3 linked regions of the Sus scrofa genome follow. The protein of the gene in region 2 interacts with the protein of the main gene of each other region in a biochemical or structural test. Links are inferred from orthologs where the notes say so. Each region holds a gene or a part of one and is shown on either strand. Other genes may lie near its edges.

Region 1 (3,743 bases), on a different chromosome or scaffold from region 2:
TGTTAGTTCAGGCTTTTGTTAAGCCTTGGACTCCATCTTATCCTGGTCAATGTGTGATCTTTCCCTCAACTGGGTGATTCAGACATCACTAAAGTTATTTTGGCTTTTCCACTTTCCTTTTACAGGCTTTTTATGAGTCATTGAATTGAAGGGGAGGTTATTTCTAAATTGGAAGGTGAAGATGAGAGAAGGGGGAGGAAAGTTCCGGAAAATAACTAGGAAAAGACATCTTATTGTTACGTAGAGTTGCTGGAGGAATAATTTCCTCTTAGTTTGGTGATGGAAGTATGTAGTTTATTTAAACGTGACTAAAAATATATGTTAGAAAATAGACAATTTTGAGGGAGATAACAAACCATGCAGTTTTAGACTTCTTATTGCTTGCTGGCAAAGGAAAGAAGGGTAAATAGAAGAAATATGGAACAAAGAGTTAGCAGGAAGAAGTAAGGAGCAAAGTCCAGATTCTTGGTTCCACAGCAAGTCCCCAACCATAAAGTGCTGTTTAAGAGGGAAGTACATCCTCAACCTGTTCCAGTCCATCCTTGAGTATGTTTCATGACCCATGGGGTTTATGTTATAGGTGGAATTGTGAGGAGGGTACATTTAAATCTGATTTAGAAACTGAAAGGGTAATTAGGTGAGCATTTTGTTATTTATGAACAGGCAGAGTGGGCAGAAATGAAAAAGAAAAGCAAAAAGCTAATGGTGGATATATTTCTAGGAGTACAAGAGTTTTTATAGCAACACCAGATTTCTCAAAAGTGCCTACTGTGATTTGTACCCAAATGAATAAAAAATGCAATCATTTATTCTTGTACATTGTGCCATGTGAGAAAAGAACTGCAATTCATTCAATGGTCTTAATTTAGACTGCTGGGAAGAGAGGTTCAGAAAAAAAGACAAGCTTTTAAAGTATCTGACACACATCTAGTAGGGCTATTTAAGAACTGCTGAGCATAGAAAGCAAGTTACGGGGAGCTGAATTCTCCTTTTCAGAGCATCACAAGGGTAAAATGTGGCCCATATAGTCCAAACTTGCTGATGGTTGCCTGGTCCCTTGCAGGAGACATCCAGCGCTGCGTCTGAAAGCTGCAGAACTCTCAACATACCACTTCAATTCATTAACGACGTTTATAACTGCAACCAAAGTGGACTAACTTCAGTGGTGGTTCTTTGCCCTTTAGCATGGAGATGAACTTTAAGGTAACTGAGCACCTTAGGACTTCAAGCGAAGAGGAGGAAATTTTCATCTACGTGCTTTTCTTTCAAGAAGCCGCTAATGAGTCTTTAAACGCCAACTCTGATGTTGCTGTTGGTAAGTACTGCCCTCTGGGTGAGCAGGCAGTGGTAAGTTTCTCCTTACAGAGAGGAAGTTGGAGAAAGGGATGTTTACAGAGTCAATTTTACAACAAAGAGTTAACCTTTCCCCTCCGACAATAAGCGCCTGCCCCTTCCTTGCTTTCTACTGCGCAACCAAACTGCCCAAGCTCGAACCAACAGTCGCCGCCACATCCCTTGCAGGTTGATTTAATAGACACTTTCTGCAGCCTATCAGGATTTCGAACTGCCCAACCGTCAACCAATTACAACTAAAGCTGGGCTTGGGACGGTCCAGGTCCGGGAGGGGGCTAATACCGGGTCCAGGAAAAGGGGCGGTAAGGAAGCTATGACGGACGGGTAAACTAAGCCAATAAGAGCAGAGAGCTGTATCACCACTATCCAATGGAGAGGTAGGAAGTGTGAAACGGGGTGGGCCTGTTGTCATGGGGGAGGTGGTGGCGCTTGGTGGCTGCCGGCGGCCGAGGTAGAGGCAGTGGCGCTGGAGTTGGTCGAGGATAGCGGCAGGTGAGTGCCTGTAACGCGGGCCTGAAGGCTGAGGGCCATCTCCGAGCGAAAACTCCAGCTCGGTCATCCGGAGGCGGAGGCCTGCGGAAGGGGGCCTGGGCTGCAGGCCGGGTCGGGCCCGGGCCGGGGCCAGGGCGGGGGCGGTGGCCGCGAGTTCGCGCTGACTGGGCTAGTGCGAGAACCGCCCGGCTCCCGGCGGCGGAGTTCGCGCTGGCAAGGTAGGCTGGGGCCGGACTCAAGCGAGTTGGGCCGGGAGCTTCCTTGGGACGCCCAGCCAGCCGCTCGGGTCTGGGGCACTGACTGGCTGCGGGTGTGTGAGGGGTAGGTCCGTAGGGAGACGGGAGCGACTGGGCTCCTAGAGAGGGGATGGCGGGTTACGACTTGGTCCGAGGGCAGGGTGACTCGGGAATACCCAGGACAGCTTCGGAGCGAGGAAAAAGTGGAAACAGGGAATCCCGGGAGCGGCCCGAGCGGAGAAAGCCGGGGAGGGGCTCGGGGGGCCGTAGACTGGGAGTGGCTTGGGTTCGAGAGAGAAGAGAGACCGAGGGAGGTCGGGGTCCAGGGTACTGGGAGCAGCCGGGGTCGGAGAAAGGGCGTCTAGGAAAGACAGGGAGGGGGCTGAGCACCCTCCTGAGAAGGGCGGCTGTCCGAGGGAGAAGCGCTCTTGGACTGTTACGGATCTTCGGAGGGTCTGACCCATGGAGATCTTGAACAAGTTAGGAACCGGAGCGCCCTGCCCCCCACCGCTGGTCTGGGATGGAAGATCCTAGATCAGACTGGGAACTCCTGGGTCTGAGGATCCACAAGAGATCAGGGGAAAAAAAATCCTCATGGGGGTAGCTTGGGTTTGACGTCAGGGTGAGGGGTCTAGCTGAGGAGTGGAAGTTCTCTCAGCTGGAGTTAAATCAAGGAAAATGATACGGGTAGGCGGGGAAAAGTAGTTTCCTTGTAGGAAGGGAGTAGAAGATAGGGCGTAGTAGGAAGGAGCCAGAAAGTTGCCCAGGAAGCGTGGTCTTGTGGAAACTGGCCAGAACCGTAGATATGAGAAATTAACATAGGGCCCTTAATAGGTTGTAAGGACCTAAGAAATAGAAGTTTCAGCTTCACAATACTAAGATGCCATCTAGGATCAGAGAAAGTGTTTTAAGAGCAAGGTTGTGACTCGCATTCCATTGCTTTAGAAATTTGTTTTAGGACGACAGCAATAATGCTAGAAAATAAGGACGTTGGCAGGATGGGAGATTTGAATGGGAAAAGGAGTAGCCGAGATAAAGGAGTAGGACTGCGGACTTGATCAGCAAGAGGAGGGGCATGAAGAGGACAGACTTACTTATGTCAATTTAAAAATAAGTTTGAATTCTAGTTCCACCACCTAGCTTCGACAACTTAACCTCTCTCTGTGCTGAAGTTTCATCTGTATAATAGAGTTCCTACTTTTAAGGGTTGTTTTCTCATGTGAGTTAATGTTTTGTGGAACTTTTAGGCTGATGACTGGCACAGAGTAAGCACTGTGTACTGGATTATCAAATGTGTAGAAGATAAAGGAAGACCTGAATTCCTTAATGCGGTTGTTCTCAAACTTTGATTTGCACCAGAATCACCTGGAGGACTTGTTAAACAGCAGTCTGCTAGCTCTACTGATTCAGTTAGGGCTGGGTTTGGGTCTGAGAATTTGCATTTATCTCAGGTGATGCTTGTATTGGTCAGGGGACCACACTTCAAGAACCTCTTGCTTTTTTGAAAAGAGTAATAATACCAACCTTAAAATACCTGTCTGCCCTGCTAGGGATGAGTAGAAGCAACTTGCAAAAGAAAAAACCCAAAAACCTAATATAAGAGAAACCCTGTCCTAAGTCTATGTTTTTCAAACTGTAGATTATGATTCATTAGTAATTTAT
Region 2 (3,743 bases):
AGATTTTAACCGGATTCCTCGGCCAAGGCGGGGAAAACCGGGGCAGACCTCGAGTCACAGCTGAGGACCCAGGGCTGGGACGGCGCAGGGCCAGCCGTTAGGAGGTCAGGGCTGCAGATGCCAGGACAGAAGGCGAGCTCCTGGCAGGTGCTGCCACCCGCCATGGCAATGAGCACCGCCAGTCGGATGAGTCCCAGCCTCACGCCCCCAACCTCACCTGAGGCCGGAGAGGAGTGGAGAGGAGGGCAGCGGGCTGAGGAGGGGGGGCTTGGCTTCGAAACAGTCCGTTTCTTTTGGGCCTCACCTGCCCAGAGGAAGCAGCACCTGCCCAAAAGAGGGGCCCACAGGTGGCAGGGTGGTGAGGCTGGGCCTCTCGACAGAGGCTCCCGAGCCTCCCCGGCAGGTCTGTGGTTTCTCAGGACCGTGAGGAAGAAACAGGGACCAGGGACCCCCACCTGGCACCCCGGGAGCCTGCAGTGGCCCACAGAGGAGCGCGCAAACCTCCAGCGGCCAGACCCGCTCCGCGTGCAGCATAATTGCTGGTGATTAAGTAATTGCCAGACTTTGTCCAATAAAAGTAGCACGTGACCGCGCCCAGCCTTCTGGGCCATCTCCAGAAGACAATGGGCCAGTGTTCGGTGGCTGCGGCCTTGCTGCAGAAGGCAGGGGCTCTGCTCACCCCCCCCCCCAACGCAACAGGTCCCCGCAGGGGTGCGAATACTCACACGCAGGCCTCCGTGCCGTTGGGGAGTCCTTCGCACTTCCCGCCATTCAGGCAGGCCTCGCTGGGCTGGGAACACCGCAGGCCTGGGGAGAGGCAAGAGGAGAGGTCAGCCGGCCAGCCCCAGCAAGGGCCCACCCCAGGGACCTCCGGACATGGGGCTGTGGGGGGGCGGGGGCCCCCGGAAGCCCGGCCTGAACCCTGGAGGGCTTCATCATTCCGCCCAGAGTCCTGGGGCCAGAAATGCGGGGGAGGGCTGGCTGGCGGGCAGGTGGACAGGTCCCGCTCCAGGCGGAGCGGGGTGGCCTGGAATGCCTGGAGGCCAGCAGTGGAGACAGCCGGGATGAGCCGGGCCGCTCTCCCGAACTTCTCACTCCCTCCCTGTCCTCCCTGGGGACCCGAGCCAACCGCTAGGATCATCTTGCTGTTCAAACAAGTTCTTCGAGGGGACGGCGCGCAGGGGGGGGGTGGCCACACTCAGCTCCCCCGCTCGTGGGAAAATGCGACAGCTGCAAAGCCCGCTGCCCCGCCCGCCAACAAAGCGCCGGCAGAGGAATCAGAGCAGCCCATTGTCAGGCCAGGGCGCCTCCTGGGGCACCGGGACTGCACCCCAGGGACCTGGCCCCGCCTCCGCAGACACCCAATTCCAGCTCCCCAGGGTGGGCATCTTCAGCGGCAGCCCCCTCCACCCCTCCCAGGAGGGGGGATGAAGATGCTCCATTTGCCAGGAATTGGACCCCCCTCTCGGGAAGGGGTCAATTAATTAAGCCCCTTCCTCTCCATCTTACCAGGGCAGGTAAATTAAGCTCCTCTCCCGGAGGGGAGGGTGTGTGTAGATCGAGGGTGACAAGGAACCCTATTTTCTGGAAGCGCCGGAGTCATTCTCCCTCCAACTTTTAGGGGAAGAGCAAGATCAAACCCCATCGGATTCCTCCGAGAGCCTAAGTGAGCCGAGAGGACTAAGCGCCCCCTCCCAAACGCTGCAAGCTTTCCAAACTTGAACTCCACAAAGCGAAAGTCCCGCCGGAGGCAGCCAGTCTTCAGCACGCACACCCATCCCCCCAAATAACCGTGAGCCGGGCTGAGCGCAGGGACCGGTGTGGGGAGGAGACACCGCGGGCGGGGCGGCCGGGAGCCCGGGGACCCCGGGGTCCGTGGCCCTCGCCCCAGCCCCGAGCGAACGCTCGCCACCGAGAAGGAGGCCGGGCCCGCCGGGCCCGCCCCGCTCCCCTCTGCCCACCACGCCCCGCAGCCGCCGGCACCGGCCGTGCGGCTCCTAACGACGAACGCGGCGCCCGGGACCCCACGCTCCGCGCCCCAACATCCGCCCCCGCCGCGGGCAAGAGGCGAAGAAAGAAGATAAATGGCCTCAAAGCAACAGGAAACCAAAACTGGCTCGATTCAAAACGAAAAGTAGTAGGCAGCTCTCCCGCCCGCCCGCCCTGGCGGCGAGCCCCACGCGCGACTGGCGAAGGGCGAGCCCAGGGCTGGGTCTCCCGGGCCCCCAACGGCCCATGCCGGCCTTCAAACCCGATTTTAAACCCGTCCCCAAACTCGGTTCCAGGCGCGAGCAGCGCGATTCCGCCCCATGGGGCAGGCGACGCGAGGAAGGGTCAGCCTTTCTCCCCGAGTCCACGACTCCGGCCCCCACTCCGCCCCGGGTCGCCCGCCCCCCCCCTCCCCCGGCCGCCTGCTCCCAGCCACCCGGGGCGCGCGCGTAGGGTGCCGCCAAAAGTTTCCGAAGGCGCGGAAAGTTGCGGGCTCGCGGGCGCCTACCTCGTGCGGCGAGCGCGGGCAGCAGCGCCAGGCAGAGCAGGGGCGCCAGGAGCGGCGGCATGCCTGCCCGCCGGCTGCCCGCTGCACCCGGTGGTGGCCTCCTGTGCCCGGCCGGCTGGCCTCGGGCGTACACTCGCGCGCCGGACCGTCCCACGGGCGGCGGCGGCCTGCTATTGCCCTCTCCTTGCTGGCAGGGGGGCGACACTGAGCTCTCGGGGCCTCCCCGGCCCGGCTCCGCGCCCGGGATAGCTCCTCCGCTGCGCTCCCGCCCGCGCCCCGCGCCCAGCACCCAGAGGCCCGCGCCCCTGCGCTCCCTCCCACGGCCAAGGCACTAGTGAGGCGCTGGGGCGCCGTGCGCTCCGCCCCCGGCCCGCCGGCCCCGCCCCTGGGTCCCGCCCCCGCCGATGCCTCCGATCCCTCCGCACCCCTCGCCCCCTCGCTGGCCGCGCCCCTCCGCGCGCCTGGACCGGCCCCGCGCCTGCTCTGGCTGGGGCGCGCTTCCCGAGCCGGGGCCTCCGCGGTTGGGGGCCATGGCGCTTCGGGACCCCGTCAGCGCCCGGCCCTAGGGACTACTTCTCTGTCGAAAGTTTTCGGAGGCCAAAAGTTTGGTGCGAGGCCGCGGAAGGATCCGGCTCTGGGTGCCGCCGCGCTCGGCGACAATTGGCAACGATTTGCATCTCAATAGCGGAGGAGGCGCGGGCAGAGCAGGGAAAGGGGGGGCCGAGCAGGGAAAGGGGAGCCCGGGGCAGGCCATGCCCGGCGAGGAGCTGGGCTGGGGCAGGTGGAGAGGAGCGGCCGATGCCCAGTCTGGGGGCTTGTGGGACGGGGGCTCTGCGTGAAGTAGCGCCCTCGGCAGCCGTGGGTGCCCCCCTCGTCCAATGCAGGAGCTCCGCGGTCGCAGCTTTAAAGCCTTCGAGAGACCAAGCCCAGACTCCGGGCTGTTCTGAAGGCCGGGCACTTGACCCTGAGGCATGGTGGCACCGGGGCTGCGGCCTCCGAAAAGGGGGCTCTGGGTGCCCCCCAAAGGAAGTCTGGGGCCAATGCGTGGCTAGCTCCCTCAGGAGAGACTTGCCTCTAGACTCCTTGGTCACTGTCCTACCTCTCAGCCCAAGGTGCCCTGCAAAGCGCGCGCGCGGGTCAAGCGGACCTGTTGCCCTCGCTCTTGCAGCCCTGGGCCCCTCCCACGGGCTCCTTCCGGATTTCTTTCTGCGCGGCTGTGCCAGATTTGGGCAACTCTTGCCAACCC
Region 3 (3,743 bases), on a different chromosome or scaffold from region 2:
TAGAGTAGAAAAAAAAGTCTGAAACACTGTTTCTGATCCACCTCTAACAGAATAAGTACATAGTGGTCAGGCCTTTGGTGTGGTGGAAGAGCCTAAGAAGGGGAAAAAATAACCAGAGGGTGAACTCTATTAGTAAATTTCATTTGTACAAATGGTTCATTGATGATAACTTTGCTATGAAAGGCTGCCTAAGAGTACTGAAGAACATTTGGAAAAAAACAATAATATTCCTTATGTAAGGATTATTAATTAGATCAAATATAAATTCTGACTTGTCAAAAATAACAATGACTAAGAGGTAATTTCTCCTCTCCATCTCTCTGGGCAAAGCTGTGCTCCTTCCAAGCCAAAATCCTACCCAGGTAAGGACTCTCTCCCCCTCTGAACTGAAGGAGCCACCAAAATGGAAAATGCCACTGTGTTCTTAATGACACTGATCTTCCCTTCCTAAAAACCCACTCCAAGGCTAAAGAGCTCCCCTAGAATCACTTGGAGACTGAAGTGAAAAGGGTCCCTCTTCCTAGCAGGGAAAAGAAAGAGCACTTCCATTCTAAAGTTTAAACTCATGAAACCCATAGGTCAAGGTTTAATGTGATAAGACATCAACCTAACATGGCATACCTGATAACCCAAAGGAATGATGACAGGCCAGACTCAAGTTCTAACACACTGAGAATTAATTTCTCTTCAAACAGCATGCCAAATTTCTCTCCAGTAGTTTAGGACTAAAAATACCATTGAGGATCTAAACTCTCACCCTCTTTAAACAAACAGAATCACTACTAATATACTCTCTAGGGGGTGTTCAAAGCAGCTATTTGTGTGTAAAACTGAGATTTGTAGAGCTTTCATTATTTACTTACACTGCAATGATCACCCACAACTTACAAGTCTTTCCTTCAACTCCTCCCTGCATCCCAAGGTTTACAGTCTGGTTTACAAGACGTGATCTAAAGCAGTATGTGACTTGGTGTTTAAAATAAATAGCACGGACAATACATTTCCTAAATGTTTTGACAAGATTCTAACTGCTGTGGGGTAGGGTGGATGAGAACTGGCTTTAAAGAGAAGATGAGCTGGACCTCAAGAATGGCAGAATTCTGAAAAGGTGACGGGGGAGAGTGTGGCAGGCAGCCTTTCCAAGTTGATGAAATATTTTCATATGCACACTCATTTCTTTTGAATCGTAAGAATCCTAGAGGATAAGAAACCAAACACATCCTCAGTTTACAGACAAGAAAAATGAGGAGGAGAAAATTTGACTCTATTAGATTTGATAACAATACACAATGAAACATCCATCATCCCAGGCTAGTGTGGGAGAGAATAAGGAAAATAATTCAACCAGCGCATAGGACCTGTGAGGGACATATCATTTAAAGGTTAAGAGACTAAACACCTAAAGACTAGTTAGGGAGGAGTACTGCAACAGGCCAGGTGAAAGGTAATAAAGGCATGAATTAAAAAATACACATTACAAATTAAATTGGTAACATTTGTTCTAAACTCCACATTACCCAGAAAGCAACAACAACAAAACCTGTTTTATCAATTTCAGGGAGGAAAACTTCTAACCAACAAATTTCCCGAATATCTACTGAGAACCCAAAGGGAACAATAATTTACCGACGAAACTTAACACCGTCAGAGATTTTAAACAGGCTTATAATTAAAACTGGAATTGTCCACAATATTGCTGGAATCACAAATACACAAACTTCGGAATTCCCTAAACAAAGAATACTTTTGTGCCACGCAATGAGCAGTACTATGCCTTCACTAAGATTTCCAGATTCTCGGATTTTCCATTCAGAACAGTTTGATCTGGTCAACTAAAGTTCGTCTTATTCTCATATTTAAGCCCTGACGCTGCAAAGAGCAAGGACCCAATGGACATTTACAGAGTAAATGAAGCCACTCTCAAAGGCAACTTTAATACCAGTCTGTTCCAAAAGTAAACTACTCATAATTTCGGAATCAAGTCTGGAAGAAAAACCTTTCAACGATGGTTCGCCAACCTTCCCGGCCGGAGCCTTAACGTAAGGTCCTTGGGGTCGTGTTTTCCCAAAGTAATGCCACAGTGCCATTTCCCGCAGATGACAACTGCTCAGTCCCTGCCATATTAGCCTCCCCCGAGCCAGACCCGACGAATTAAGGGCACTGGGGAAGTCTCAAAGGGCCCCAGGAGGCGTCGGGGCAGAGTCTCCCAGGAAGGGGAGGCTCCCCGAGCCCTACTCACCGCGACAGGGCGGCCGTGCTCCGGACCGTCAGTGACGTCGAGGCGGGGGGCCGGGGCAGGCGCCGGGGCCGGGGCCGGGGCAGGCGGCTGCCGGTGCTTGCCGGCGCGTTTGGCCTTGGCCTGGATGCAGCGCTGGTGTAGGGCGAAGGTGTGCTGGCGTTCGAGCTCCAGACGCTCGGGCGACACGGCCTCGTAGCGGGCCTCGCAGGTGCTGTGGTGGCGCCGACACAGCTCGATGCGCCGGCGGAGGCGCTCCATGACCGCGCTGTGCCGCGGCAGCGCAAACTCCGCCATGGGGCAGGTGGGCAGCACCATGGGCCGCGGGCTGCACGGGCCGGGCCCAAGTCGGGCCTCTCGGGGCCGGCTGGCACTGTGGGCTCCGCTCCCCGCCCGTGGCCCGGCCGCCTTATGGCCACGCCATGACCCCGAGAGCTGTGCAGCGGGCTCGAGCGCGGCGGCGGGTCTTGCTCCGGCCCCGCTCGGCCCAACCGGGGCAGGCGTTCGCTGCCCACCTCAGGCCTCGGCCTGTCCCCGCCGCCCCGAACCCATTGTTTTCCGCGCCGCCGCCGCCGCCATCTTAAAATTGTTTTCAGGGCTCTCGGAAGAGGGCAGGGCCCCGGCAAGCTACCCCGGCGTCACGGCTGATGAACAGGGATTGCAGCCAATCAGAGAAGAAAGAGTGGGCGGCCCGAGGGGCGGGCACGAGCACGCAAGAAGCGCGCTAGGGCTCCCGTGCGGAGTTTAAAAGGAACTCTCTAGTGAGAGGCAGAGGGTAGCAGCTGGGCGGGCTTCGGGCCTGGGTTCCAGCCAACTGAGACCGCCTGGAGCCGGCCCTAACACCGCCTCATGCGGAGAGGCCCTTCCGGGTCCGCAGAGGAAAGAGGGGCAGGCCTAACTGGCTAAACCCAGACGCCCGCCTGGCACTCCTTCAGCCTCTTTAAATTCGGCTTTGATGAGCTCTCAAGTAAGCCATGCTTTTTCCAGCTGGTTTTCTTCCCTCACTCATTACATTCAGCCTCACAATTGGTCAGAATCGTACACGAGTGAGCTGAAAAGGTTTGTTTCCTCTTGCACTATTCTGAATCATCGAGACTATCATCTCCCTTTATATGTCTTAACAGATTTCACAAGTTCAACTACCACTTTAAAAAAAAAATCCCTAGTAGATATGAAGAGAGAAAGGAGTCTAGCTCTTTCTTTGCGGGGTGGTGGTGGTGGTGGGAGAATAGAACTGCAAAGGATGATCCTTAAGTAAACACACATACACCCACCCAATCAGGGAGCCTAGCCTGCAAACTCTTTAAAAAATATATTTTAAAGATTTTAAAAAGTTTTAAAGCTTGTTAGGTAAAACAGAGTCACTCAACAAAATCCGACTAAAGACAACTGCACTCTAGTATTATAACCAGTACGTAAAGAGAATGGGAGACTGTAGGGAAAAAACAGGAGCAATGAAACAGATAGTCTGTGGTGTTGGGCCAAGTTAACTAGAAACAGGTATTGG

The links.
Region 1: the proteins of NOTCH1 (region 2) and NUMB form a complex in vitro, tested with the Homo sapiens proteins (2 studies listed by BioGRID). The link is inferred for Sus scrofa from reciprocal best matches to the Homo sapiens genes NOTCH1 and NUMB.
Region 3: the proteins of NOTCH1 (region 2) and MAML1 form a complex in vitro, tested with the Homo sapiens proteins (2 studies listed by BioGRID). The link is inferred for Sus scrofa from reciprocal best matches to the Homo sapiens genes NOTCH1 and MAML1.

The regions. Positions count from the first base shown.
Region 1 is NC_010449.5:96,796,564-96,800,306, reverse strand, and holds the start of NUMB (protein numb homolog), read left to right. Parts: upstream 1-1,616; 5' UTR 1,617-1,845; intron 1,846-3,743. UniProt on the Homo sapiens protein: Regulates clathrin-mediated receptor endocytosis. Plays a role in the process of neurogenesis.
Region 2 is NW_018084833.1:1,208,376-1,212,118, reverse strand, and holds the start of NOTCH1 (neurogenic locus notch homolog protein 1), read right to left. Parts: upstream 2,829-3,743; 5' UTR 2,559-2,828; coding exon 2,498-2,558; intron 808-2,497; coding exon 726-807; intron 1-725. UniProt on the Homo sapiens protein: Functions as a receptor for membrane-bound ligands Jagged-1 (JAG1), Jagged-2 (JAG2) and Delta-1 (DLL1) to regulate cell-fate determination.
Region 3 is NC_010444.4:78,873,778-78,877,520, forward strand, and holds the start of MAML1 (mastermind-like protein 1), read right to left. Parts: upstream 2,857-3,743; 5' UTR 2,555-2,856; coding exon 2,240-2,554; intron 1-2,239. UniProt on the Homo sapiens protein: Acts as a transcriptional coactivator for NOTCH proteins. Has been shown to amplify NOTCH-induced transcription of HES1. Enhances phosphorylation and proteolytic turnover of the NOTCH intracellular domain in the nucleus through interaction with CDK8.